Macaca fascicularis: one gene and its partners. The protein of the gene in region 2 interacts with the protein of the main gene of each other region in a biochemical or structural test. Links are inferred from orthologs where the notes say so. Each region holds a gene or a part of one and is shown on either strand. Other genes may lie near its edges.

Region 1 (7,428 bases), on a different chromosome or scaffold from region 2:
GAAACCCCATCTCTACTAAAAATACAAAAAAATTAGCTGGGCATGGTGCTATGCGCCTATAGTCCCAGTTACTCCAGAGGCTGATGCAGGAGAATCACTTGAACCTGGGAGGCAGCGGAGGTAGCAGTGAGCCGAGATGGTGCCACTGCGCTTCAGCCTGGGCAACAGAATGAAACTGTCTCCAAAAAAAGAATCTTAATCATCTAGGTAGGTAAAGTAGTAACTTTGATAGGGGAAAGGGTAGAAACAATTACAGGTTCTTACCTCCCCACTGTAAAGAAGGTTAAGGAGATGAAAGAGGATAAGCACAAACCTACCTTTCTCAAACTTAGAAAAGGCAACTGACTTGAGGCTGCATTGATGACCTTTGCACGTTCCAATCAGCTCACCAGCTTTCACATCCCAAAATTTGGCTGTTTGATCACCTGCTGCTGTAACCTTTCAAAAATAAGGTAAGCACAATTTAACAAAGCAATCCCTTATCAGTATTTACCCAGATCCTAATGAAATAAAGTCACTTACAAGCTTAAGTTCACCAGGAACCCAGGCCAGGTCAAAGACGGCATTCCAGTGAGCCATCCATTCTAAACAAAGAAAATGGTAAATGTGAAATGTCTAAATTGTATTCTGTGGTAGCCATATTAATAGAAGTTTAAATGCCTGGAAAGCTGTAGTAGTAAAAAGATCAGTAGTCGATCATTAAGAGAAATACAAATCAAAACCACAGTGAGATATCATCTCACGCCAGTCAGAATGGCAATTATTTAAAAAGTCAAGAAACAACAGATGCTGGCAAGGCTGCAGAGAGACAGGAATAGTTTTACACTGTTGGTGGGAATATAAATTAATTCAACCATTGTGGAAGACAGTGTGGCGCTTCCTCAAAAGACCTAGAACCAGAAATACCATTTGACCCAGCAAACCCATTACTGGGTATATACCCAAAAGAATATAAATCATTTTATTATAAAGATACATGCATGCATATGTTCACTGCAGCACTATTCACAATAGCAAAGACATGGAATCAACCCAAATGCCCATCAATGATAGACTAGATAAAGAAAATTTGGTACATATACACCATGGAATGCAATGCAGCCATAAAAAGGAATGATATCATGTCTTTTGCAGGGACATGGATGGAGCTGGAAGTTATTATCCTCAGCAAACTAATGCATGAACAGAAAACGAAACACTGTATGTTCTCACTCATAAGTGGGAGCTGAACAACGAGCACACATGGACAACGAGCACACATGGACACAGGGAGGGGAACAACACACACTGGGGATTGTTGAGGGGGAGCACGGAGAGGGAGAACATCAGGAAAAATAGCTAATGCAGCCGGGTGCGGTGGCTCACGACTGTAATCCCAGCACTTTGGGAGTCCGAGGCGGGCGGATCACGAGGTCAGGAGATCGAGACCATCCTGGCTAGCTCAGTGAAACCCCGTCTCTAATAAAAATACAAAAAATTAGCCGGGCGTGGTGGCAGGCACCTGTAGTCCCAGCTACTCGGGAGGCTGAGGCAGGAGAATGGCATGAACCCGGGAGGCGGAGCTTGCAGTGAGCCGAGATTGCACCACTGCACTCCAGCCTGGGTGACAGAGCAAGACTCTGTCTCAAAAAAAAAAAAAAGCTAATGCATGCTGGGCTTAATACCTAGGTGATGGGTTGATATGTGTAGCAAACCACCACGGCACACATTTACCTACGTAACAAACCTGCGTGTCCTGCACATGTACTCTGGAACTTAAAATAATAAAAACAAAGATGCACACATAAAAAATCAGTAGTCAGCACTCTTTGGCATGAGCAAAGATAATTTGTGGACTCATAGAAATTACACATTCCCTTAATTACCACATGAGAACTAACATCTGATGTCAAATTCCTTTCCATGAGTTCACTAGTTATATATTCTCTAAAATGGAATCTTTCTGAAACATATTCCAGTTCAAAAATCTTCATGATACTGGCTGGGCACAGTGGCTCACACCTGTAATCCCAGCACTTTGGGAGGCCGAGGCAGGCAGATCACTTGAGGCCAGGAGTTAACCAGCCTGGCTAACATGGTAAAACCCCATCTCTACCAAAAACAAACAAACAAACAAACAAAAAACAAAAATAAAAAGAACTTCATGATGCTCTCTGAATGGAATGTAAAATACTTTAGTTTGACATTCAACATTTTGCATTCTTTAGTCTTTATCTTGGTTGCAAGCCTCATCTCTCACTGTTTTCGATATCTTATTCCAACCAAATTGGTCACTTCCTATTTTATTATATCCTATGCTTTTCCATCTCTAGACCTTTGCTAATGCTTTTCCCTTCACCTGGAGTACCCCCTTCCATTTCCACCGGTCTAAATACCATAGTCCAACTCAAATGCCCCATTCTTCATAAATTTTCCTAGCCTTCTTTACTACATGAGAGTTTTCTCTTTGACACCAGTGTGTTTTCTTTCTACTTCTGTATAATTTATAGCCTTTGTTTTATTTATTTCAACACTTGACTTATAGGTTCCAAATTATCAGCTTCTTAAGGTTAGAAGAACTTTGCTTTATACCTGAAAAATGTTCGATCAATATAAATATTTTAAAGCAACACTTCTCTAACCACATTAAGTGTTAAAGATTCAACTTTTTGAAGGAATTGTTTTTAATCCTAAAATGTATTTTTCTTAACTTTGAGTAAAGGCATTGTCATAGTTAACAGTTATTGACAGATAGGTAGTCCACCATTCACATCTAACCTGGTCCCTAAAAAGACTTCATCAGAAGTTAACATAATCAGGAATGTGTTATATATACTTCAGATGTTTGTCCCTTCCCAAATCTCATGTTACAATTCAATCCTGAAAGTTGGAGGTGGGACTTAATGGAAGGCATTTGGGTCATGGGGGTGTATCCCTCATGAACAGATTAATGCCCTCCCTAAGAGGTGAACAGATGAGTGACTTCTTACTCTATTAGTTCCCTGGAAAGCTGATTGTTTAAAAAAGAGCTTGGTACTACCCCTTTCTCTTGCCATGTAACCTCTGTATTCATGGGCTCCTCTTTGCTTTCTGCCATGAGTTGGGGCAGACTGAGGCCTTCACCAGATGTCTAATCTTCTAGCCAGCAGAATCATGCACCAAATAAACCTTTTTTCTTTATAAACTACCCAGTCTCAGTTATTCCTTTGTAGCAACACAAGACAGACTAAAACAGAATGTGTTCAAATAATAATACACTTGAGGATCTGTAAAGTTTTTTAAATGTTAAAACAAAAATTGTAGACCTAGACTTACCTTTGAAGCACTTCTTTCTGAAAGTTTGTGATTCAGTGTTATACAATCGAACAAAGCCTTCTTCATTGGCAACTGCTAGTACGTGTTCCATATTGGGAGCTAAAGCAGAAATAAAGAATAAAATATATGAAGAGTAACACAAAATTTTTTTTTTTTTTTAGACGGAGTCTGGCTCTGTCGCCCAGGCTGGACTGCAATGGCACGATTTGGCTCACTGCAACCTCCACCTCCTGGGTGCAAGTGATTCTCCTGCCTCAGCCTCCCAAGTAGCTGGGATTACAGGCATGCACCACCACACCCAGCTAATTTTGTATTTTTACCAGAGATGGGGTTTCACCATGTTAGTCAGGCTGGTTTTGAATACCTAACCTCAAGTGATCCACCTGCCTCAGCCTGCCAAAGTGCTGGGATTACAGGCATAAGCCACTGCGCCCAGCCACAAAACTTTTTAAGTTTCCTCAAAACCACCAAAATTTTCTTCACATAATCTCTTATTTAGAGAAGGGCTAAATCGAGGGTTGTACTTAAACAAAACAGGAGTGGTACTGGCCAATGGCAAACAAAAGCATATGATGATATAGGCCGCCAGCAGGCTGAGTCTATTAGTTTTGTTTTTTTTTTTTAATCATATTTTTATTTACGTATTTTTACCACAATCATTGCTACGTAATAGTCTATTAGTTTTTGTTTTTGAGACGCAGTCTCCCTCTGTCACCTAGGCTGGAATGCAGTGGCGTGATCTTGGCTCACTGCAACCTCCGACTCCCAGGTTCAAGCGATTCTCTTGCCTCAGCCTCCCCAGTAGCCGGGACTACAGGCGTGCACCACCACGCTCGGCTAATTTCTGTAAGGAGTCTATTAGTTTTAAATTTCCTTTTCACAACTTTTTCTCTCCTCTCAAAACTATTATGGGTGGAGACAAGTACTTCCATTTCTTTCTTTTTTCTTTTTTTGGAGATGAAGTCTCACTCTGTCACCCAGGCTGGAGTGCAATGGCACAATCTTGGCTCACAGCAACCTCTGCCTCTCAGGTTCAAGTGATTCTCTTGTCTCAGCCTCCCAGGTAGCTGAGATTACAGGCATGCGCCACTACGCCCAGCTAATTTTTTGCAATTTTAGTAGAGATGGGGTTTTACCATGTTGGCCAGGCTGGCCTCGAACTCCTGACCTCAAGTGATCTACCCGCCTTGGCCTCCCAAAGTTCTGGGATTACAAGTGTGAGCCACTGCACCCAGACCCGCCTTGGCCTCCTAAAGTGCTGGGATTTCAGGCGTGAGCTACTCAGCTTGGCCAAAGTACTTCTATTTCTGTTCATATATTCCCCAGTGAGTCACAGAAAGATACATTCAACCAGATCAAAGGGTATGTATCTACTGGGTAAAACAGTTTTCATTGTAGCTGAACCTTTGCCACCATTTCCTTATATTGGTTTTTTAAAAATGGTGCTATAATAATCCTATGCTTTAGAAGAAATATAGTTATGCTAATGATGCATAGAGATTAAGAAAAGTCTATTTTATAAATCAAAAGACAACAGTTTTTACAAAAACTCTAACATCTACCTAGTTTACTTTTTGAAGTATATTTGCCCTGTAAATGTGAAATAGATCATTTCTGTCCAAGCCTTGCCTAGAGAGTAATTCTCTTACCAGAAGAGAAGGTACATCCAAAAGGAGGAACCGGGACTCCTGTTTCTCCATAAGAAGTGTGTTCATCATTACCACTGCATTGATAACCAGTCAGAAGGGATTGTAGAGGGTATTGTGAAGACCATCCTAAAACAAGACAATTCCTTATAGAATTCCAATAGAGCATCACATTTCAGCATTTTTAACAAATCCAGAGGTATATATTTGTTCTTAAGAAACTTTAGATATTAACATAGATCCACTTACTATTAATATCTATGGAAGACACTGTTTCTGGTATTTCCTTAAAAGAGTCCTAAGGAAAAAATGAAAAAGCACTTCCAACTTCTGGGGAGGTATAGCTTTGGGCTTACTATCTAAAATGAAGACTCTCACTAGCACATTGAGATTAGAAGAAATAAGAGGCCTTTGCATATTAAGAAAGATCTTCCTCCTTCTCCTACCAAAGAGACAACCACAAAAGCATTCCATTAAAACTGTTATCCCTTTCTATTAAATTCTTATGCTGGAACATCATACAAAATCCAGTGGTCAAAGAGCCAAAGAAAATAATATATATCAATGCAACTACTATAGCCAGTAACATATTCACCAAATTTACTTTCTTTTTCCTTTACTGCTGAAATTGTAGGAATCTAAAATGTTAATAGCAACGCTTATAGTATCTTAAATGATATTAGAGAAATTGTAAAGTGAAGCGTTATGTACCTACCCCTAGTAAACATTTAGTTAGCCCTGGCTAGTGGCAGTGGGTCAGGCAGTCTTTACAGGAGGTCTTGAAAGATGGGTAAATTTTCACTGAATTTAGAATAGAGAACAGGAAACTCAGGGTGGAAGAAAAGTTTATTCTGCTTGGGTCAGAGATCTAACGTGCACTATGGTCCTACATAGTAAGATATCTTCAGAGATTTGTTTTTATCATACTCATTTGTGGTCAAGACATTTTAAACATATAAAAGAAACATTCATTCAACAAGTAATTACTGAAAACCAAATGTTCAATAAGCATTGGAGGAATCACTGAGTTTACAATCTATTGAAAGCATAACAAACTCACATTTTAGGGTACTCTGAATTCTCACTTTTCATCAAAAGTACTATGTGGAGAATACATCCTAGCTTGATATAACCTCAGACAAATCTACATTTGGATGCTCATAGACATAACCTGAAGGAATCAATAGAAGGGCACCAAAAAATTTAATCCAAATTTAATAATTAGTTCTGGGGCCATCATGTCATAATTTCAACATCAGATATCATTGTAAAGGAGCTGTTAAAGACCACTAAAAGAATGCAATAGGCTGGGCGCGTTGGCTCATGCCTGTAATCCCAGCACTTTGGGAGGCCGAGGTGGGAGGATCACGAGGTTAGGAGATCAAGACCATCCTGGCTAATCCGTGAAACCCCGTCTCTACTAAAAATAAAAACAAAAACAAAAACAAAACAAAAAAAATTAGCCAGGCATGGTGGCAGGCGCCTGTAGTCCCAGTTACTCAGGAGGCTGAGGCAGGAGAATGGCGTGAACCCGGGAGGCAGAGCTTGCAGTGAGTCGAGACTGCGCCACTGCACTCCAGCCTGGGCGACAGAGCAACACTCCGTCTCCAAAAAAAAAATGCAATAGTTACGTTGAGTTCACAAGTATTAACCTACAGAATAAGTGTGTAGAAACAACAAAAGCCTCTGTTCAAAGGTTATGTAAATATACATGTTTTGGAATTAAAAAAAATCAACTGCAAAATGCAAACTCAAAAGGGACTTTTGAACAACTTGGTTGAAATGAAGATGATACACTCCAAAAAACCTGCAATTTTTTACAATTAAACAATGACTTTAACTCTGCATCTCTGCCTACAATTAACATCCAAACACCAATGAATGGTGAGTGATTGGTCCTTGCCTACTCCTCTACTTATGCAATCCCTGCAATACACACTTCACTGATGAACCACCCTAAGCTACTTTTGGATCCTTATTGTGTTATGAACATAAAACTGTAATGCTTACCTCCACAACACATTTGGAAAAAGCTATTATTTCCTCATTGTACAACTTAAGCCCCTAGAGTTACATGCACATATTCCAAGTAGTATACAAGAACATGAGAGTTTTCAGAGACTAAATTTCCAGATACAGTAGTCATCCCCATCTGTGGTTTCGCTTTTTGTGGTTTCAGTTGCCTATGGTCAACGATAGTCTGAAACTATTGCATTGAAAATTCCGGAAATAAACAATTCATAAGTTTTAAATTGTGTGCCATTTTGAGTAGCAAGAAAATTTCACACTGTCCTACTCTGACCTGTCCAGGGTTATGAATCATCTGTGTCCAGAGTATCCGTGCCATATATGTTACCTGCTCTTTAGTCACTTCGCTGCTTTGTCTGTTACATAGTTGGAAGGTCAGTAGTAGCCTAATGTTATATCACAGTGCCTGCCTACGTCATTCATCTCACTTCATCTCATCATGTTGTAGGTATTATATCAT
Region 2 (6,747 bases):
AACAGTTTTGGCTCACGAATTTAATCTCCTTTTTTAAAATTTGTATTTATTTAAATCTCTTTTTTAGAGAAAAATATCACGAAAATAAACCAGGTTTAAAAATGTTTTATACACGTTGAAGATTCTTTTTTTTTTTTTTTTGAGACGGAGTCTCACTCTGTCACCCAGCCTGGAGTGCAGTGCCACCACCTCGGCTCACTGCAACCTCCACCTCCTGGGTTCAAGCGATTCTTCTGCCTCAGCCTCCCAAGTAGCTGGGACTACAGACACAAGCTACCACGCCTGGCTAATTTTTGTATTTTTCGTAGAGACGGGGTGTCACCGTATTGGCCAGGTTGGTCTCAAACTCCTGACCTCAGGTGATCCACCTGCCTCGGCCTCCCAAAGTGCTGGGATTACAGGTATGAGCCACCGTGCTCAGCTATGTTGAAGATTTTTTAACACCAGAAATGTTTTCGATTTTTAATTTTCTTTTATAGTTCTTAATTTTTTTTAAATACAGGGTCTTGCTATGTTGCCCAGGCTTACCTTAAACTCTTGTTCTTGAGTGATTCCCCCCAGCCTCAGCCTCCCAAAGTACTGGAATCCCAGTACTCACAGGTATGAGCTACCCTGCCTGGTCCTGATTTTTTCATTTTGGAATATTTGCATATACATAGTGAGATATCATGGGGATGGGACCCAAGTCTAAACACAAAATTCATCTATGTTTCATACATACCTTACATAGCCTGAAGATAATTTTATACCTTTTGTGCATGAAACAAAGTTTTGACTGCAACCTGTCAAATGACGTAAAGTGTGGAATTTTCCACCTGTGGCATCATGTTGGCATTCAAAAAGTTTCCAATTTTAGAGCATTTCAGATTTTGGATTTTCTCATTAAAGGTGTTCAACCTGTACTATATACTATACATACATTAAACTGTCACACCCTTGTCATATTGTTACGCAATACTTTCTATTACTTTTCTATTTTAAAGAGGTCATGCCAGAAGCAGCTACCCTTTGCGTGGTTAAATACAAAAGACTACATTTATTGTAACTTCACATGAGGACTATATAGTTTTGTCAAGATAGTTTGTGAATTACACCTTTACTTTGGGCAAGAGTTAGTTGGCTTAATTTTTATAAATTAAGATTTAAAATGTATTGACGAAATCACTATTTAGACCAGGTGCGGTGGCTCATGCCTGTAATCCCAGCACTTTGGGAGGCTAAGACGGGTGGATCACCTGAGGTCAGGAGTTCAAGACCAGACTGGCTAACATGGCAAAACCCCATCTGTACTAAAAATACAAAAATTAGCCAGGTGCGGTGGCGGGCGCCTGTAGTCTTAGCTACTAGGGAGGCTGAGGCAGGAGAATTGCTTGAACCTGGGAGGTGGAGGTTGTAGTGAGCTGAGATTGCACCACTGCACTCCAACCTGGGTGACAGAGCAAGAAGACTCCATCTCAAAAAAAAAAAAAAAAAAAAAAAAAATCACTATTTAAAAGAATACTGGCCAGGTGCAGTGGCTCATGCCTGTAATCCCAGCACTCTGGGAGGCTGAGGTGGGCGGATCATGAGGTCAGGAGTTTGAGACCAGTCTCGCCAATATGGTGAAACCCTGTCTCTACTGAAAATACAAAAATTAGCCAGGCGTGGTCGTGCGCACCTGTAGTCCCAGCTACTTGACAGGCTGAGGCAGAAGAATTGCTTGAACCCGGGAGGCGGAGGTTGCAGTGAGCCGAGATCACGCCACTGCAATCCAGCCTGGATGACAGAGTGAGACTCCATCTCAAAAAAAAAAAAAAAGAAAAAAAAGAAAAAAAAAAAAAAACACTACATGAAATGGCTTGATAAATGAAGTACCTCATAATTTAGATCTTCATACTTCTGGTTTAATGCATCTGACTTGGATTTCTGCATCCTGTGATTTAAAAGTAATCAAGAAAGCTTGTAGCTTTATCTTCATGATTGCATTCTAAGCTCCTGGATGACAAAATTCCACTATATATCTTATGTATCTAGCCTGTAAATATAATATAATCTTGTTTGCTAATAGAAAGTTTTTCAGTATAAGTAAAATGACCACTTGTTCAAGAGGGGAAAAGAGGGGAGACAGTCTGATGCAGCAGTGAAAATTTTATCCAGAAATCCCAAGGTTTGGAAATCAAATGACTTTCTCTTAATTACAGTGAAAGACCTAGAATATCAGCACAATATTAACTACAGCAATCCCCTAATTTCCCCAGCATCAGTGATCTCTCTGGCTTCAGCTGAAATGATTGTTAGGCAGAGCATGAGGGTAAGAGTATGGTAATAAGGAGTGCAATATTAGGTTTGGAGAAAAGAAAATGCTTACCTTATTAGAACTAAGAGCTACAGAGTGCTTATTATGTACCAGATCCAGTGCTAAGATTTTTACATTCATGATCTCATTTAAACCTCACAATAATCCTACAAGGTAAGCACTATTATCTCAATTTTACAAAAAAGGAAACAAGATCAGCAAAGTGAAGTGATTTATGAAAGTCTAAAGCTCATAAGAACCCTAATAGCTAGCAGTCTATTCAAACTCTATCAATGTTTATCATCCAAGGGTTTGGCTATCTACCTCCTAAAACTTGGAAAATAGGCCAGTACGACATCACATTAAGTGACTTTATTATTGGGCACTCACAGTGGAACATTTCCATTTAATGACCAATTTCAGTTTACCAGAACTATCACTACACTTTTCAAAAAGATGCTTAATGATGACTAGTTATCTGCATGGTCTTTAACAGATGATCTCTTACATAAGCTAACTAAACAGGAGATTTAACTCAATCCACAATAACCGAATCTGTCAAATACCATGGTATTTCAACAAATACCATGGTATTTCAAGAGGAAAAGAAGTAAATAAACCAACCAAGAAGTTCAAAAGAAATATAGTGAATAAACTTGAAAATTTCAAAGACTCACTTAGCAGTTAAACTTTCAGGTATCCAGGATTTTCTGTTATTTTCCCCTTTTGTCACTGCTGCCCACATATGCCAACAAAGTTTTTTTGGAAATCATATGCATCAAAATGGAAAATTAAAACTTTTCTCTCTCTAAATGGTCATGACGCTTTATGTTTGCAAGATTTGTATCTGAAAATCTAATCTACTTTCTTTTATTTATAACACGCTCAATAGGAAAACACAGAAGTACCTACCTTAACTGGAAATTTCAACTGGTTGTACACTTCTGAAACAAGGAGATTGTGGCTAAGTGTCTTTCTCATCTTCATAATTCGAACAATTGCAGCATCAATTTGATATTGTCTGTCTTGAAATACTCTTTCTGTAGTGCTTGCTTGTTCTTCAACCTAACAAAAAAGTTTTAAACCTAAGAATTATACCAGAAGCAAAACCTGACTATTTACATAAATTGTGCATTTTAGGGACATGGCATTGTTATTGCTTTAAAGGTACTGAATTTTCTAATTGGGGTCTTATATAGACGCTGACAGAGAAAAAGCCTACAAACATAACTCCTTTCTGTTCTGATTATATTGCCCTATACCAATGAAGTAATGCTAATATTAGTTAATAGAAAAACATCATCTTTGAATTGCTTTTCTAGAAGTAGAGATAGCTGATGTGGAATTTAACATTTTGTTTTTTTACTCTGTCTTTGATATCTTCTAAATATGTGTATCAGTTTCAATGGATTGTTAACCAGATTTCTCTATGACAATAGCTTGTCTATAAAGTGATGGACTCTGTCTGACCTGACTCAAGGCATGGTATTAACTGGCTAAGCAAACTAGTTAAGAGTCAAACTCTTTGAAAATTAATTTTTATTTTGTAATATATAAATCAGACATGCATGCCATTAATGCTTACAATCCTTCAAGACTTATAGACATGTAGGTATTTAGGAGGCGGTTTACCAATCTTGATGCTAAAGCAAAAATGTTCATCTTTCGTAACTAAACCAAAAAAAGTCTGGGCTTTTTGCAGCAGTTTCTTCCTGGTACAGCATAAACATTTTAAAAGTAAGGACATGGTAATCCTTTAAGAAAATATCCTTTGATGTGTATGTGAAAATGACAGGAACTTGTTTGAAGATACTGGTTGCTGTCCTACATTAAAACTTTTCTCCGCTGAGCGCAGTGGCTCACACATGTAATCCCAGCACTTTGGGAGGCCGACGTGGGTGGATCGTGAGGTCAGCAGTTCGAGACTAGCCTGGCCAATCTGGTGAAAACTCATCTTTACTTAAAATACAAAAATTAGCTGGGCGTGGTGGTGCACGCCTGTAGTCCCAGCTACTCAGGAGGCTGAGGCAGGAAAACCACTTGAACCCAGAAGGCAGAGGTTGCAGTGAGTCAAGATCGCGCCACTGACTCCAGCCTGGGTGACAGAGTGAGACTCCACATCAAAAAAAAAAAAAAAAAATTTTTTTTTTCAAATATTGCATTAAACCTTATTGGAACTGAAACCATCAGTTTCAGGATGCTGCAGTTGGAAGTCTCTTACAAATTCAAATGGCAAAAACAAACAAAATATTCACCTTCACTGTTTTTGTTTTTTTCTTTTTTTTAGACAGAGTCTCACTCTGTCACCCAGGCTGCAGTGCAGTGGCGCAATCTCAGCTCACTGCAACCTCCACATCCTGGGTTCAGGTGATTCTCATGCCTCAGTCTCCCAAGTAGCTGGGACTACAAGCACGCACTACCACGCCCAGCTAATTTTTATATTTTTAGTAGAGACAGGGTTTCACCACGTCGGCCAAGCTGGTCTTGAACTCCTGACCTCAGGTGATCCACCCGCCTCGGCCTCCCAAGGTGCTGGCATTACAGGCGTGAACCACCGTGCCTGGCCCACCTTCACTGTTAATCAAACAAATAGTGAATAAATCATTCAGATTTTTCACCAAGCAAGTTGGAAAAAGAAAATATAATCTTTAGTGCTGGTGGACATAGTAAGACAGGCTCTCATATGCTGCTGGACAGAGTATAAACTGGTTCAGTCTTTCTGGAACACAATATGACATTATGTACTAAGACTCCTAAAATGTTCATACCCTTTAACCCAAAAAAATCTACTTCCACACATTTATCATATATCAAAGAGATTAAAATTTAGGTTCAAAGAGGTTTCTTGCAATTTTATTTATAATACTAAAAAGTCATGAATTTAATTGCCCCAAAATGAACAGTGGTTGAATAAACTGTAAGAGCCATGTAAAAATATTACACTGCCATTTGCCATTTTTTGAAGCTATTTAATGGCATGGAAAAATTCTAAAGATTGAATATTAAATAAACAAAGTAGGATATAAAACCATGTTGAGTATCAACCCAATCCTGTACAAGCACTCTCCCAAAAACCCAAAATCAAATACGGAAATATATTTAGCTGGACATAGCAGAGAAAATGTTAATGGTATTGGCAGTATTACAGGTATAAAATCTTTATATATTTTAATTATTAACATGTATAATTCCAGTGTGTTAGGACTAGGAGAAAGTGAAAGAAATACCGTTTCTTTCATCTGGATTTGATTGATCTTTATCCTGAAAAGTTTGTGTTTGAAATCATCATTACAAATGAACTTGTCACCATCTTCAATATCTTTGCCCTTTGGATTTTTTGCCAGAACTCTAGCTTTGCCACAGGCTAATGACTGCAGTGTTCTCCTTAACTCTCCATCCTCTGAAGAAGAAAGAGAGGTTTAGTTATTTGTTACCAGCATGAACAACTACCACATTCTACCTCAATCTAGTTTCCACTCCATCCCCCTAGTAAAACTGTTTCATTTTTTCCCAAAGGTCACCAACAACTCTTCTTTGTCCTAGCCAATGGCTTTTTTCCTAGTTCTCTTCTTTTTTTAAAAAAAAATAGAGACGGGGTTTCACCATGTTGCCCAGGCTGGTCTCAAACTCCTGAGCTCAAGTGATCCACCCGCCTTGGCCTCCCAAAGTGCTGGGATTACAGGTGTGAGCCACCACGCCCGGCCCCTAGTCATCTTTTAAAGGTGTCAATTATCGTATGATGTGCGCAACTACCAAATCTTCCAAAATGACATTTCACTTCTCTCCAGTTGCACGTTTAAATGGCAATTCCGCCTGGCTGTTTTACTATCAACTGTAGTCACGTCCAAAATTTGATTCATCATCTCTATATAACTGTGTCCTCTTTCCAACTGTCAGTGGTGATACTACTAACCTTCGCAATTGGGAAACCCTGAAATCATCTTTTAACTTTTCCTTCTCCCTCATCCTCAACATAATAGCTAGCTGTTGCTTCTGCAGAGATGAATTTTCTCCATTTTCGTGGCCTCATTCTAGTCTAAGGCCCTTCCACTTTATGCCCGAATCATCCCAACAGCATCTAAACTGGAATCCCTTGATCCTTCCAGTTGCCCTGTACATTGATTTCAGTAAGTGGTCCAAATAATTACTTCCACCACGCCACATAGTTGAGACACTACAATGTAGGTTTGCATTTGCTAGATTTATCAGGTTCTCCACAATCAGGCACTACTCATCCTACCTAATTTTTTAACTCACTATTCTGTTACAATTAAGCTCTTCATGATTCTTCATGATTCCGTGCTACAATTAAGCTCTTCATGGGCCTATACTGTGCCCATTCCTACCTCCAATCTCATCTCAAAATATTTCCCCTTGCTGTATATGCCTTCTCCCTGACCAAAACTTGAAGGCCTAGCTCAAATGCCACTTGCTTCATGACAGCTTTCCCAATTGTGCTAGTCCACAGTGAT
Region 3 (7,428 bases), on a different chromosome or scaffold from region 2:
CAGAGTTAGCAAACCTCTCTGTTTTGTTTATCTTTCACATCCAGTCAAGTCTCCCTCTGTTTCCCACCCCAAGCCCTTAGTAAATGCCTAAGAACCTACATGCACTATACCCTTTCCTCCCTGGCATGTGCTGGTTCCCTGAAATAAAAAGGTCTTTCCCTCTCCAAATCCTACCCATCTTTCAAGACTTGATTTTGCAAAGCCTTCTTGGATGATACTTCCCTTTCTCTGAGACTACATCCAATCTCAGTACCACACAATGAAGCATTTGCTCATCTACACTTTTGAAAAATTTTGTTGTCTTGCCTCCACAATAACACTGTAGACTCAGGTTGGTAAAGACCATGTATTATACTTCTTTTGTATTTCCCACAGTGCCTAGCACAGTACTAGAAAATTTGTAACCATTCAACTAATACTTATTGACTGAGTGACTGTCTAAAGCATCCTCCCAAAATAACAAGTACATTATGTGCATAATTCATATTCCCACCCTTGTTAGAAGCTTATGTCAGAGAAATTTCAGTTGCTTCGACAGAGGATGTAATGCAGCGCAATATGCTGTTTGGATCCAACAGGCATATTCTGGGAGTTGGTGATTATGCTAGCTTTGACCTTTACAAAATTACAGAAAGAAGTCCCTAATAAATCAAGATAGATGCGCACATAGCCATTCATGGAACATGTGGTGGGCAATCAACTACACCCACTCTGTTTCTGCCATGAAAGAGTTGGCTAGGATGCCAATCCGAGTATGGAGTGTCCTTCCTTCCATGAATTCTTCTTCTTCTCCACCCCAAGGTGAATGTCCATCTGGAAGGTCCATTCAGAGAATCTCAACTGAGCAACTAATAGGCTGTCCAAAAACAAGTATCTCTGAAAAAATTGGAACTTTCCTTGACATACATATATATATAGATATACATATTTTTTTCTTTTCCTTTTGTCAAACTGCAGTGTTCCAAAAGATAAAGATTAGGAAGTGAACTCGCTTGTCCAAAGCAACACAATCAGCAAAGAATCAATAGACTAATCTGTACCATGCAGGGTTCTCTTTTACTTATTCCTAGGCACGATGGGACATTGTTTTGTCTCACAATAAGTAGTCCTGCACATACAACATCTCAAGAAGGTCAAAAAGCAGGGCAGAGAAAGTCAATGATTCCATCTCCTCATGCCTCTCTAACCTAATCTACACTCTCCTTTCAAGGCTAAAGCCAGAACCTTGAGCTTAGCCAGAAATAGAGCTAGCACAGCCAACTGACTCATACTGCTAGGCCCTATCCTATCTCTGCCACCAGAGCAAGATTTTCCAAGAAAATGCAATGGGGAGATCAGAAGCAGATGCGTGGGTCCCAGACACTCCAAATACAGCCACAACATCTATAGGACTGAAGGAAATGATACAAGGAGAAAAGCAAGGGATGCAGGAGAAGACAGGAAAGCAACTGCTTACCTCCTGAGTGAATCCTCCTCAGAGCTTTCCTCAGGCATATCCTGATGTAAGGCCTCCTGTGACACAGTTCCAGATCTGCTGGACTGGGTGTAAATTCTTTCCCAGTGGCCTGTCTCCTGGTTAAAGGCCACCCCCACAGTCCTCTCCTCCTGCGGACTAGCAGAGCTGCTCAACTCCAGCCTGCTGGAGCTGGGCGTTTGGCCCTCAGTCCGCTCAAGAGGTGGTAACTGGCTGCCACTCGATGGCACACCCTCAAAGGAGCTGGGGACCTGCCAGGAGGAGCTAGCCTCGCCAGAGGAGTAGTTAGGTGTGGTTCTTTCCCAGCGCAGGGTATCGTTGTTGAAGGTCAGGAGATTGTGGCAAGCACGACAGCGATTCAGGTGGCCACGGGACAGGTTGGAGTTGTTCTCACTGCTGTGTGGGGTGGGCTGGTGGGAAGGGCCTGGCCTTTCAGATTCAAGGTTATTGTTGAGCATTTCCTGGGCCTGCTGGGTCTGGGGAGCTTCCCCACTCAGGCTCTGATCCAGCTCCTGAAGCCGGTCATACTCCAAAAAGAAGCGTCTCAGGTCACACTGAAGCTCATGGCGAATGCTGCCCGAGTTATTTTGGCTGGAGCCATTCCCTCCATCTGACTCAGTTGCCAACCCTGATGCTGGAAAACCCCTCCCTTCTGTGGCTGAAGTGTACACAGATGCCTGAGAGCCACCTTCCTGCTGTCTCAGCACAGACAGCAAACTCACTGAAGAGGCACTGGTCCTGGGCGGGGGCATGGATTCCGCCTCAGAGCGGGAGTTCAGACTGAGTACTGTCCGGGTCCACTCAGATCCTGTCAACCCGGGAGCTATTTCTCGGTGATACCTAGAAGGGTGGCTAGACAGAGGCCCTCCCAAAGAGCGGCGGGTAGGACCCAGACTGAGGTTGCGGAGCGTGTTGCCGGCAGTGCTGCTCTGGACTGTACTGAAGGCAGACGGCCGGTTCAGGAGGCCCTGGTCCTGCTGCGTTGACGAGGCCTGCTCCGGGGGATGGAAGGGCTCGGTCTGTACAAAAGAAAAGGAAGGGGTAGTAGCTCTGGCAGAAGCAGGGGGGACACTGTCCTGGTGTGGCAAGAGGGAAGGAACTCGAGTGCCAGAGCAGCGGCTGCAAAGGCACAGGATCCCAAGGTGCTGGCAGCACTCAGCTGTGGGGTAACTGACCCGCTGTCGGAGCCTGATGTAAGCGGAAGTCCTGGGGCGCTCCGTGGAGGGCTGAGGGGGAGGCGGTGGGGGTGAGGGGGTAGCAGAATCTTGCACTGTGCTTTGCTCTCCCACCTGGATGCCAGAAGAGCGGGAGGACAGCATGTGCAGGAAATTGTGGAGGAGAGGTGTCCGGCGAACTGGCTGTGATTGCAGGAGGGCACGCTGACGGTAGTGGGATAATTCTGTTCCATCTATGGGGATCTCTGGTTCGTCATCACCCTGCAACGTGGACCAGCATGGGGCAGGGGGTAGAGCAAGGCAGTTAGGTAGTACCTCCAAGTAAATCAAGAAAAACTAACCACTGACAATCATCCAAGGAAAACAATGTTCACAGGTAGGAAACAACTCTCTACCCCTGAAGCACTGACAACTGGCCTCAGATTCAGAATAATCCCATGGTATTAAAATTTCCACTCCCAATCAGCAGCATATCTGAATGAGTGCAGCTGACAAACCAATTGTCTTACAAAAGACATCTCTCCATGACATGGAAGCAGTGAGGGGAAGCGAATTGTCAACCAGCCAGAGGCACATGAGTGACAAGCTATCCAACATTGTCTAGTGATGATAAGGGTTACTTCTAATGATGCGATCACTGGAGAGTTTTAGAATCGACTCTCCTGTCAAGATTATGACTATAACCCTGAATATACAATCTGAAGCTAGCTTTAAATTTTGACTGGAAAGAAAGACTTGGGTATTGAGAATTTAAATCCAATATAATCAGAATTGGAATACTAGTTAGGAAAAGAACTCACAGTTTAGCTGGAATTGGAACTGCTGGACTAGCTTACCTGTTGATTAGAGGGGTTAACAATTGCTGTGAGTAAGTAGTGTCCAAGTGGATCAAATCTCACCAGACTGAAATCACAGAAGAGACAAAGACACGCATAGAGAGATTATGTTAACTGAGAAGAGAAAACTTGTGTTCAAATTTATAGCAATCATTACTGATAACTGGTATCACTCAGGTATCCACTTCATTCAAGACTTTCAAAACTTTCAAAGAGATTAAAATAACAACACTCAATACTTCTTGCCAGAGTAAAGGAATATGTATCACAAAAATAACGATTTCACATGAAAAACACCTAGGGTTTCCATCCCCGGAAACAGCTACATTAAGCACATCTTTGCTCAAATACAAGAGCTCATCCTAACCATAAAGCATAAAATGCTCTCATACTCTGCCACAGAATCAGTTCTTCCCTCATATGGCAGCTACACCAGCAAGAAGCATGAATCTTGGTGGCAACGAACAGACCCAGCATTAAATGACATAGCTGAAACCAGAAAATTGGCCTGTATTTGACTGCAAATCCAAGAGGACCAAAGAAACACAATGCATCATCTTTAATAGCAGCAATATGTTTTGATCTTGAGTACTAAATAAATGTCAATTACATGCTTACATCTCCATCTTCCAGTTTGATATACAAAGACAACCCAACGAGGTATCTAAAATACCACCCAAACTTGTTTCAGGTTTTCCCAAAGAAGGACTATCCAAAACACAGTTAACTTTGAAACTAAAAGAGAGTCTAATGATCTTGGTCTCCAAAGTTCAGAAGAGGAGGCCAATAAGGGAAAGCTGAAATGAACAAAATGAGTGTCTCCCAGCTGATTAGTCAGCTGTTTAGAAAGTAGGAGGCAGCCAGGTGCAGTGGCTCACACCTATAATCCCAACACTCTGGGAGGCCAAAGCAGGAGGATCACTGAAGGTCAGGAGTTCAAGACTAGCCTGAGCAACACAGTGAGACCCCCCCGTCTCTACAAAAAAATTTAAAAATTAGCTGAGAGTGGTTGCACACACCTGTAGTCCCAGACACTCACAAGACTGAAGTGGGAGGATTGCTTGGGCCCATGAGGTCAAGGCTGCAGTAACTTGGGCCCATGAGGTCATGGCTACACAACTGTACTCCAGCCTGGGTAACAGAGCAAGACCCTGTCTCTTTAATAATAAAATAAAAAAGGGCAGGGGTGGGCACGGTGGCTCACGCCTATAATCACAGCACTTTGGGAGGCTGAGGTGGGCAGATCACTTGAGGCCAGGAGTTCAAGACCATCCTGGACAACATGGTGAAACCCTGTGTCTACTAAAAATACAAAATAATGAGCCGGGTGTGGTGGTGGGCGCCTGCAATCCCAGCTACTTAGCAGGCTGAGGCACGAGAATAGCTTGAATCCAGGAGGTAGAGGTCACAGTGAGACGAGATTGCACCACTGTACTCCACCCTGGGTGACAGAGTGAGACCCGGCCTCAAAAAAAAAAAAAAACATAGGAGGAGCTGTGAGGATGACAACTTCCCCTAAGCAGGGATAACAACCTGTCTTCCAAAGTGACAGCCGGCAGAATGTTCTCTATCATGTCAGTCCTGTGCCAGACAATGCTGATGGGGCAGCGCACTCACCGGACCCGTTCCATCTCACTAGCTGTCTTCACCACAGCAAAGGGTTCCCGTCGACTCCAGTCCCAGAAGTGGATCTCATTGGCAGTGGCAATCAGCAGGAGCTGAGCCGTAGGGTGGAAAGCCAGGGAGGCAATGGCATTGTTGCTATCTGTGAACCAGCTTTCACTGCCACCCTGTGAACAAACCAATTCCAGATATTCTCAGGTTACAAGCCACCAGCACACTGGGAAGTCAATTTCAAGAAAGGTCCATTTAAGGTAAAATGACTACATCTAGTGACTACTTTAAATACATCCTTGTAAAAAGATGTAGAAGATCAGTGATCTGGCAGTGCCACTAATTTATCAGACAAATACTATACAATCAGCTCAGTTCTTCAAATTATTCACAATCTACAAGCAATAAGCATATATACACAGTTCCTACTTCTTTTTTTCTTTCTTTTTTTTTTTTTGACAGGGGGTTTCATTCTGTTACCCAGACTGGAGTGCAGTGGCACAATCTCAGCGTACTGCAACCTCTGCCTCCTAGGTTCAAGCATTCCTCGCACCTCAGCCTCCCAAGTAGCTGGGACCACAGGCACATGGCACCATGCTCGGCTAATTTTGTATAATTTTGTGTATAATATTTTTGGTATAATATCCTGCCCAGGCTGGTCTCGAACTCCTGAACTCAAGCAATCCTCCTGCCTTGGTCTCCCAAAGTGCTAGAATTACAGGCGTGAGTCACCGCGCCCAGCCCACAGTTCCTATATCTAAAGCCTGAGAAAAACTCAAGCTTGGTGCACAACATGGTGCAAGACAACCTGCTAGCCAGTTACTAGGACAAAGAGGATCTTGCTTTGATGATCATGATCGGAGTACAGGACAATCTTTGCCCTTACACAATAGAAATCCATCCTGAACATATCTTAGATTCTCCTGTACTATGTCACAATGGGCCAAAGGAAGTAAAAGCAGATGTTCATCTTAGAATGGAAGACAATCTCAGGGCATGCTTAAGCTATTGCAAAAAAAAACAAAAAGGAATGGAAGACAGGGAATTAGACTTCCTGTTAATTAAGTGGGCAATGTCTACCACAATATATTCAGATGTAGTCCTAAGAACCCAGTTAGGCTCTTCCAGAATTAAAAACTCAATGGTAAACAAGTCTCTGTATTTAGAATACCAAAAGAGGCTGGGCATGGTGGCTCACGCCTATAATCCCAGTACTTTTGGGAGGCTGAGGCAGGCGGACCACTTGAGGTCAGGAGTTTGAGACCAGCCTGGCCAACATAGTGAAACCCTGTCTCTACCAAAAACATAAAAATTAGCCAGGCATGATGGCACATGCCTGTAATCCCAGCTACTTGGGAGGCTGAGGCAGAAGTTATCACTTGAACCTGGGAGGCGGAGGTTGTAGTGAGCTGAGATCGTGCCACTGTACTCCAGCCTGGGCGACAGAGTGAGACTCCATCTCAAAAAAAAAAAAAAAACAAAAAAAAAACAGAATACCAAAAGAAAAGGGTATCTTAAGGAAATACTCACGTGTAAATCCCAAATCCTAACTTCCCCATCTAGGCAGCCGGAAGCAATAAGGCCTGAGATGGTGGGATGAAAAGTGACACACCACGGAGTACGGCGGTGTCCAATCAAGGAATGAACACACTTGCCAGTCTTCACCTCCGTAATATAGATATTATGATTCACATGGGTGGAGGCTAAGAGAGTCCTAGAAAATCAAAGAGTAGAACTAATTCAGAAGCATGTGGAAGGGTAACCAACCTTATTAACTTTGGACAACACAGAATAGTGATGCTACCTGCCGATCCCAACACGAAAGAACCTAAGCTTTGTACGTTAGGCAGTATATCTACAAACAGAAATATTCTGATCTTTAAAGGCTTTTGGCTTGTCCACGCTGTCCCCAAATGACACATGCCACATTCAGAAAATATTTTTTTCCACTGTAATAACCATCATGCCACTGGTGAGCTGTATCACACAGGCAAATGATTGTTATTGAGAAACTTTCCAAGTTTTGATCCTCTCAGTTTCCTTTGCTTGTTCTCATGATTTTTCAGGTTAGCACTGCTCATCTACTTTCTTTCCCTTTCTGACATATGGCCAAAGCACTGTTCATAAAGTACTTCAGAGAGCCTTTAGGGACTGACTTGGAAGATCAAGCCAGGCCAAATATACAGAAAGCACTGTTATCACAAATCTTAAGGTTAAGTTACAGATAATTACTAAGTACCTGTCTGGGCTGAAGGCCAATAAGAAGGTAGAGCGTGGACTATCCGGCAGTTCTACTCTCTGGGAGACAAAAAAAAAAAAAAAAAAGTTA
Region 4 (7,886 bases), on a different chromosome or scaffold from region 2:
CAAAGATGGTACAAAGACAGAATGTAAAATATCTCCTTTTTTCACATTAATTACATGTTGAAATAAAAATATTTTGGCTATAAAAGGTTAAATAAAATAGATTAATTTCACCTTTTTATTTTCTTTTTACTTTATGAATGTGGGTACTAGAAAATTTCAGGCCAGCCACAGTGGCTCACGCCTATATATTTTGGAAGGCCAAAGTGGGAGGATCACTTGAAGCCAGTTCGAGACCAGCCTGGGCAACAAAGCGAGATCCTGTCTCTGAAAAAACAAAAAAAGAGGAAAAAGAAAATTTAAAATTATGTATGTGTTTGTATTTGTGGCTTACATTCAGATTGGACAGTGCTGGGTTAGACAAAACCAAGGAAGAGAACAGGTGAAGAATATTCTAGGTGAGAAAGAATAGGCTATGTAAGGGCTCTGAAAAAGAGCATGGACACTTAAGAATGAAAAAGCAGGCCGGGAGCGGTGGCTCATGCTTTTAATCCCAGCACTTTGGGAGGCCGAGGTGGGCAGATCACCTGAGGTCAGGTGTTTGAGACCAGCCTGGCCAACATAGTGAAGCCCTGTCTCTACTAAAAATACAAAAATTAGCTGGGCGTGGTGGCAGGCGCCTGTAATCCCAGCTATTGAGGAGGCTGAGGCAGGAGAATTGCTTGAAACCAGGGGGCAGAGGTTGCAGTGAGCTGAGATCACGCCACTGCACTCCAGCCTGGGCGACTACATCTCAAAATAAGAAAAAAAAAAAAAAAGGAAAACTGGCCAGGGGCCATGGCTGCTTTGGCCACCATAGTTAGTTTAAAAAAAAAAAAGTGTCCAGGTAAACTAACAGAGTGAGCAGGAGTGACTCAAGATGAAGTTGTAAAGGCAGGTGAGTGATCTGAAAAGTAAGTTCCTATAATTCCAATTCTAGAAACTTGAAGTTTCTTTCCTCCATTTCTGGCCTCAGTAACAAATCATTTTAGTTCCCGGATGAAAAAGTAACCTCTACTGTTCCTGGTGTGATCAACATTCTTGTTCCTTCTACTATAAGGACAGGAAATCAGTCCATCAAAGACTATAATCGGATCACTATGTGCTGACCACTACATGTAATAAAATATGTGGAGATTTAAATGAAATTTCTTTAGTGCAATCAATTACCTATTTAGATGTTGGCAATGATTTCCTTTTTATTATGTTTGGGCCTAACATACAAAATACTTACTCCTTAGGCTTCTTTCCTTTGTAAACAATGACCAGCAAAAATTAGCTCAGATAGACATTTTTTTTTTTTTTGAGACTCTGAGTCTCAAAAACTTTTTTTTTTTTTTTTCTTGAGACCCTGAGTCTCAAAAAAAGACTGTGAGTCTTGCTCTGTCGCCCAGGTTGTAGTGCAGTGGTGTGATCTCAGCTTACTGCCACCTCCACCTACCAGGTTCAAACAGCTGTCCTGCCTCAGCCTCTCAAGTAGCTGGGATTACAGACATGCACCACCACGCCCAGGTAATTTTTGTATTTTTGGTAGAGACGGGGTTTCACCATGCTGGTCAGGCTGGTCTTGAACTCCTGGCCTCAAATAATCCACCCGCCTCAGCCTCCCAAAGTGCTGGGTTTACAGGCATGCACCACCACGCCCGGCTAATTTCTGCATTTTTAATAGAGTATTTTTGCATTTTTAATAGAGTCGGGGTTTCACCATGTTGCCCGCCTTGGCCTCCCAAAGTGCTGGGATTACAAGCATGAGCCACCACGCCTCGCCTCAGATAGAATATTTTAGCTCAAAGTTTATTTTCCTCCTTTCAGTATTTCTACCTTTGAGTCTAGGTACAAGATGGGAGATATGCAGGAAGAATCAACAGTGCCTGTTGTCCACAATTAATTCTAAATGTGTCCCTGCCATCTTTAGATTGAGTAGATTTATTCTGAAAGCTGGGTATGCCTCCAGGACATCATAAAAAAACTACTCTATTTCAAACACACCAAAAGACTAGATACAGAAGACCGAGTGCTCAGAGTAGGCTTGATATCTGCTTGTGAAGAAGAAAATCGGTCACATCAAGATAGCCACAAGCTCTGCAACCTTCTCAACTTCCTCCCATCCTCCTCCAATTACTTACAAAGATCCATAATGTGGTTCCTGCAGATGGCACAGTTATCAACCACAATATCCCAGGCCCAGAGGGCTACTGCATTCCACTGCAAAGACAAAAAGAGGGAACAATGCATTCTCCTTATAACACACACACAGTTTTTAGGACTTCAGGCTGCAGTTGTAGTTATGATCTCTGGCCACAGGGAACCACCAAACAAAAGTTTTTGGATATTATGTTAATCTTATTATACCAAAGACAACAGTAGACAACACATACATTCTCCTATTCTCCAAAAGACTGAGTATATGAACACATAAATTAATGTCATCTTTTAATTTGTTTCCTGTAGTTTAAAACAATTTAGTCTGGCCGGACGCAGTGGCTCACGCCCATAATCCTAGCACTTTGGAAGGCTGAGGCGGGTGGATCACCTGAAGTCAGGAGTTCGAGACCAGCCTGGCCAATATGGCGAAACCCCGTCTTTACTACAAATACAAAAATTAGCCAGGCTTGGTGGCGGGTGTCTATAATGCCAGCTATTTGGGAAGCTAAGGCAGGAGAATCGCTTGAATCTGGGGGACAGAGGTTGCAGTGAGCCGAGATCGTGCCACTGCACTCCAGCCTGGGCGATGGAGTGAGACTCCATCTAAAAAAAAAAAAAAAAAAAAAGCACAAACTTGAATTTCTGTGCAGGTTTTGGTGGCAGTTGCAGAAGCGCTCAAAATCTGAATAAGTATCTGCTCTTCCAGGCAGCTTTGGAAGCATGAGCAATGAAGTGAAAGCTAGGGAACAGAATGAACTAAGATGATGACTGGATCATAAAACGGGTAATCGTGGGATAAGCTGGATAATTAACTGCCCATGTCAGTACACAGAACAAGGTCATCACTTAAATCTTAGATTACTTCATAACAAATTCTACAATTCACTAGAATTTTGTTCGATTCTTACCATAAAATAAACTGATGTTCTGAACTTTTATATGTTTAGACTCTTCTATTAAGATAATAATTCCAGTAAGAGTTTAACTAAAAGTGGCATTTCATTCATTCAACTCTGGTTTCCTCAATTACAAGTACTCCCAAACCTTCATCGCTTTCAAACCCCAGTCTCAGTGCCTAGTAACTTCTTCACCACTTTTCACATCACAGCTTCAACTTGGAGGAAAAGCCCCTACTTCTATTATTCTTCAATATGGCTGGCTGTAACTGAGCAGCAGTGGCCACAATGAGACACCAAAAAGCACTAGGAGGGGGGGATATTGTCAGTGTTTAGCCAGATGTTCCAGGAATATCTTCCCTATTTCAGAATCTCCATTTCGAATAGTTTTCATGTTAGGTGGGAATCGACACTTTTCTCCCAAACTGTGGCAAACCACTAAAATGCATTTCATGCAAAAGACACGTTCCATTTTTGCTTTCCCCTCTTACCAAGTCATTCGCAACTACTACTCAACCCTCCCGAAATGCCACAGGATTTGGGCTCGGATTTTCTTAACAAGTTCCACCGTGCTTTTTATTATTATTTCGGAAGGGGGAGATTCTGAACGTGACAGAGAATCCAAGAGTGGGGTGGTTGTGGGAAAAGCCAACAGACGTCTCAGAACACCCAAGCATTACACTCCAGACTCTAACTCGGCGGTGTGAGGCCCAGAGATGGGGTTAATGGAGGCCTCGGTTCAGCGAGGAACAAGTCTGATCCCTTCAAGTGAGAGGACCCCAAGCAAGCTTCAAAAAGGGGCGGAGCAAGATCACTAGCGGGGCTCCTCAGAGGCCTCCAATGCGGTAGGACCTCAGGTTCCAGGCTTTCGCCGCACTGCCCCATCCTCCACCGCCGCAGTCGCTCTGACTCCCCATTCCACCCACCCCACCCCACCCCACCCCACCCCACCCCACCCCACCCTACCTTCCCCCACCTCTCAACCACTCCAGTGACAGCTCAGGCGCTTGGCTCCCGCCGCCAAGTCGCAACCCCGCGTATCTCAACAAGCAGCTCTGTGATTGGCCCCTCAGCCTCACATCGAAACCAACACTTCCCCTGACAGTGGGCCGCCGTCACGCCGATCAACTCTAAGGCCCGCCCCCCGACTTCCTTTCGTGGTACCCGGTCCCAGGAACGCCCTAAAATGAAACCCTTTACTCCGCGCCTCGACCATCCTCGGGCCTGCCAGCCAGATCCGCGCCTCTCTAGCTTCCCTGAGGAAGGCGCTGGCGAGACCCAACCTTTTTCACTTCAAAGCGCTTCTTGCCCGCGCCGCTGTTGGTGCCGCTCGGGGTATCCACATCCATCGCTGCCGCCATTTTGGAAACACACGGTCTGTCGTCCGACCACCGCGCCTGCGCAGCAGCGCACACCTCGTTCCCCCAGCCTCCCCGGCACCTCCTCCCGCACCCCACCCCTTACTGGCGCGCGTGGGGGAGGTGGGGGCGGAGCACGTGACCACGCCTCTTAAAGGGGCTATCGCAGGTCGCCCCACCCGCGAAGTGTCGGCCGGGGAGGGGGCGGTGGCCGGAGTGGGTGGGGCGGGGCCGGGCGGGGCCGAGGCTACGTGAGCTAGCCTGGTAGAAACGTTCGAAAGGGCTCGAGGTCGCCGCCTCCTCTGGGAAGCCCCCGGCCGCACTCCATCAGCTGGGGCGGCGGCTGCTTCCTCCGCCTGAGTCGGACCTGCGCCGCAGTCCTGTCCTGCCTACCGGGCTCGCCCGGTCGCCGCGCGACTCCCATTGCTAGCCGGGGTGGGCGCCCGCCGCCTGCCCCGAAACCTGAGAGCCCTCGCTGGTCTTTCGCAGACTCTGACCCACCTCCGAGCCAGGCCCAAGGCGCAGTCCGCGTGGGAGGGCTGGGGCCCAGGCACCGTCTGGTCTCCGATTTCTGTTCGGGAACTGCTCAGGGATCGATGGGGAGAGAGGAGAGCCCCGAAGGTCCTCCCTAAGGCCAGACTGAGCAGGCCCCCAGTGCTGCCCTCATCCCCCCGCCAAGCCTGGAGGGTGGCCTCTGCGCCCGCTTAGTCGCAGTCCTAGGACCGCCTTTGGTCGTGGTGCGCGGTTTCACCGTGGCGTGTGTCAGTCCCCACTCCTCATTCCTCAGTTGTCATCTTGTGTAGGGTGATTTCTCCCCAGTCTGTGTCCTCTTTCCGCTACTTGTGCTATAGTGAAACCGACCCATCTGCAGTCGCTGTATTTCTTTAATTTTTGTGAAGCATTCTGACTTTTTGGGGTGTTTTTCTGAGACGGAGTTTCGCTCTTGCTGCCCAGGCTGGAGTGCACTGGCGCGATTTCGGCTCACTGCAACCTCCACCTCCCGGGTCCAAGCGATTCTCCTGCCTCAGCCTCCCTAGTAGCTGGGATTACAGGTGTCCGCCACCACGCCCGGCTCTTTTGTATTTTTAGTAGAAACGGGTTTTTACCATGTTGGCCAGGCCGGTCTCGAACTCCTGACCTCAGGTGATCCGCCTGCCTCGGCCTCCCAAAGTGCTGGAATTACAGGCTAGAGCCGATTTTTTTTTGTTTTAAATAGAGACAAGGTCTCACTCTGTTTCCCAGGCTGGTCTCGAACTCCTCGGCTCAAGCGATCCTCCCACTTCGACCTCCCAAAGTGCTAGGATCACAGGAGTGCGCCACCGCGCCCGACCCAAGCACCTGTACTTTGTGTCACTCTCCCATTTCTCGCTAGACCAGGACTCCCTTTGACATCTCTAACCTTGCAGAGGTATGACTCCGCCAGAGCACTCTTAGATCTGGTACAGGTGATTTGAAGCCTTTTATTTTCTCTTAAAAGATAACTGGAGAGTAATGGAGTGTGCTGACACTATTGCTAAAGAGAAAGAATTGGCCAGGCGCGGTGGCTCACGCCTGTAATCCCAGCATTTTGGAAGGCCGAGGCGGGTCGATCACCTGAGGTCGGAAGTTCGAGACCAGCCTGGCCAACATGGCGAAACTGCATCTCTACTAAAAATACAAAAATTAGCTGGGCGTGGTGGCACGCGCCTGTAGTCCCAGCTACTCGGGAGGCTGAGGCAGGAGAATCTCTTGAACCCGGGAGGCGGAGGTGACAGTGAGCTGAGATCGAGCCACTGTACTCCAGCTTGGGTGACAGAGTGAGACTCCGTTCCCAAAAAAATAATAATAAAAGAGAAAGAATTGCCATTTGTTTATTTGTTAGTCATAAACAGGCACAACAGATCCGGGAAAACACCACCACAGCTTTATCCAGACTTGGAAAGAAAAATTGTGTGAGACAGACCTTAAAGGGCTACAAGAACCCTACAAAGTTTTTTTTAGCCCAAGTTGTAATGACTTTATGTTAAAATTTCTGTTGTTAATTTATTGTGCGCCTACAGTCCCTGACAGGAATACTAGAAACCCATTGTAAATTAAGGTATTGAGGACATACTTATCCATCATTCAACAAAAGTATTGATATTTACCAGGTTCTATTTTAAACAGAAGAGACATAATAACAGTCAACCCCCTAGTTAGGGAATAAGACACAAGTCAACAAATAAATACATCAGGAAGTCTCAGGGCCAGTTAAGGTGTCTCGCGCCTGTAATCCCAGCACTTTGGGAGGCCAAGGCAGGCGGATCACCGGAGGTCAGGAGTTAAGAGACCAGCCTGACCAACATGGTGAAAGCCCATCTCTACTAAAAGTAGAAAAACAAAAATGAGCCGGGTGTGGTGGCAGGCACCTGTAGTCCCAGCTACTGGGGAGGCTGAGGCAGGAGAATGGATTGAACCCAGGAGGTGGAGGTTCCAGTGAGCCGAGATAGTGCCACTGCACTTCAGCCTGGGCAACAAAGTGAGAGTCTATCTCAAAAATAAATAAATAAATAAAAAGTTTCAGGTATCTGCCAGGCAGGGTGGCTCAGGCCTGTAATCCCAGCACTTTGGGAGGCCAAGGCAGGCTGATCACTTGAGTCCAGGAGTTGTCCAGACCAGCCTGGCCAACATGGCGAAACGTCGTCTCTACAAAAAAATACAAAAATTAGCTAGGCAAGGTGGCACATGCCTGTAGTCCCAGCTACTCTGGAGGCTGAGGGGGGAGGATTACCTGAGCCCTGTACATGGAGGTTGTAGTGAGCTGAGATGGTGCCACTGCATACCAGCCTGGGTGACAGAGCAAGACCCTATCTCATAATAAATTAATAAAAAATGCTGCATTGAAAAAAGTCTCTGGCTGGGCACAGTGGCTCATGCCTGTAATCCCAGCACTTTGGGAGGCCGAGGCGGGTGAATTACCTGAGGTCAGGAGTTCAAGACTAGCCCAGCCTAAATGGCGAAACCCCGTCTCTACTAAAAATATAAAAATTAGCTGGGCGTGGTGGTGGGCACCTGTAATCCCAGCTACTTGGGAGGCTGAGGCAGGAGAATTGCTTGAACCTGGGACATGGCAGTTGCAGTGAGCCGAGATTGTGCCACTGCACTCCAGCCTGGATGACAGAGTGAGACTCGTTCTCAACAACAACAACAAAGTGTCAGGTATTAATAAGTGCTATGAAGAAAACAAGGTAATGAGATTGAGAGAAGGAGGCCACAGTAAATTGGGTGATTAATAAGGTTTCTATGAAGAGTGACATTTAAGCTGAAGTTGTTTAAATGGCCCTACATGATCTGCTTCCCCATCCAATTTACATATACCTTTGAAAATATCTTTTCTAAGTTGGGCATGTGGTCCTAGCTACTCAGGAGGCTAAGGACGTGGGAGAATCCCTTGAACTTGGGAATTTGAGGCTGTAGTAAGCTGAAATTGCACCACTGTGCTCCAGCCTGAGTGACAGAGAAAGACCCTATCTCCTAACGAACAAACGTATTT

Evidence for each region.
Region 1: the proteins of CUL4B (region 2) and DTL form a complex in vitro, tested with the Homo sapiens proteins (2 studies listed by BioGRID). The link is inferred for Macaca fascicularis from reciprocal best matches to the Homo sapiens genes CUL4B and DTL.
Region 3: the proteins of CUL4B (region 2) and AMBRA1 form a complex in vitro, tested with the Homo sapiens proteins (2 studies listed by BioGRID, with this or other methods). The link is inferred for Macaca fascicularis from reciprocal best matches to the Homo sapiens genes CUL4B and AMBRA1.
Region 4: the proteins of CUL4B (region 2) and RBX1 form a complex in vitro, tested with the Homo sapiens proteins (4 studies listed by BioGRID, with this or other methods). The link is inferred for Macaca fascicularis from reciprocal best matches to the Homo sapiens genes CUL4B and RBX1.

The regions. Positions count from the first base shown.
Region 1 is NC_088375.1:69,849,629-69,857,056, reverse strand, and holds part of DTL (denticleless protein homolog), read right to left. Parts: intron 5,070-7,428; coding exon 4,944-5,069; intron 3,394-4,943; coding exon 3,295-3,393; intron 585-3,294; coding exon 523-584; intron 439-522; coding exon 318-438; intron 1-317. UniProt on the Homo sapiens protein: Substrate-specific adapter of a DCX (DDB1-CUL4-X-box) E3 ubiquitin-protein ligase complex required for cell cycle control, DNA damage response and translesion DNA synthesis.
Region 2 is NC_088395.1:126,803,421-126,810,167, forward strand, and holds part of CUL4B (cullin-4B), read right to left. Parts: intron 5,676-6,747; coding exon 5,503-5,675; intron 3,341-5,502; coding exon 3,188-3,340; intron 1,913-3,187; coding exon of another isoform or gene 1,871-1,912; exon of another isoform or gene 1,855-1,870; intron 1-1,854.
Region 3 is NC_088388.1:19,303,747-19,311,174, reverse strand, and holds part of AMBRA1 (activating molecule in BECN1-regulated autophagy protein 1), read right to left. Parts: intron 7,398-7,428; coding exon 7,339-7,397; intron 6,814-7,338; coding exon 6,630-6,813; intron 5,276-6,629; coding exon 5,103-5,275; intron 3,553-5,102; coding exon 3,486-3,552; intron 2,911-3,485; coding exon 1,457-2,910; intron 1-1,456. UniProt on the Homo sapiens protein: Substrate-recognition component of a DCX (DDB1-CUL4-X-box) E3 ubiquitin-protein ligase complex involved in cell cycle control and autophagy.
Region 4 is NC_088384.1:10,677,736-10,685,621, forward strand, and holds the start of RBX1 (E3 ubiquitin-protein ligase RBX1), read right to left. Parts: upstream 4,404-7,886; 5' UTR 4,379-4,403; coding exon 4,301-4,378; intron 2,182-4,300; coding exon 2,103-2,181; intron 1-2,102. UniProt on the Homo sapiens protein: E3 ubiquitin ligase component of multiple cullin-RING-based E3 ubiquitin-protein ligase (CRLs) complexes which mediate the ubiquitination and subsequent proteasomal degradation of target proteins, including proteins involved in cell cycle progression, signal transduction, transcription and transcription-coupled nucleotide excision repair.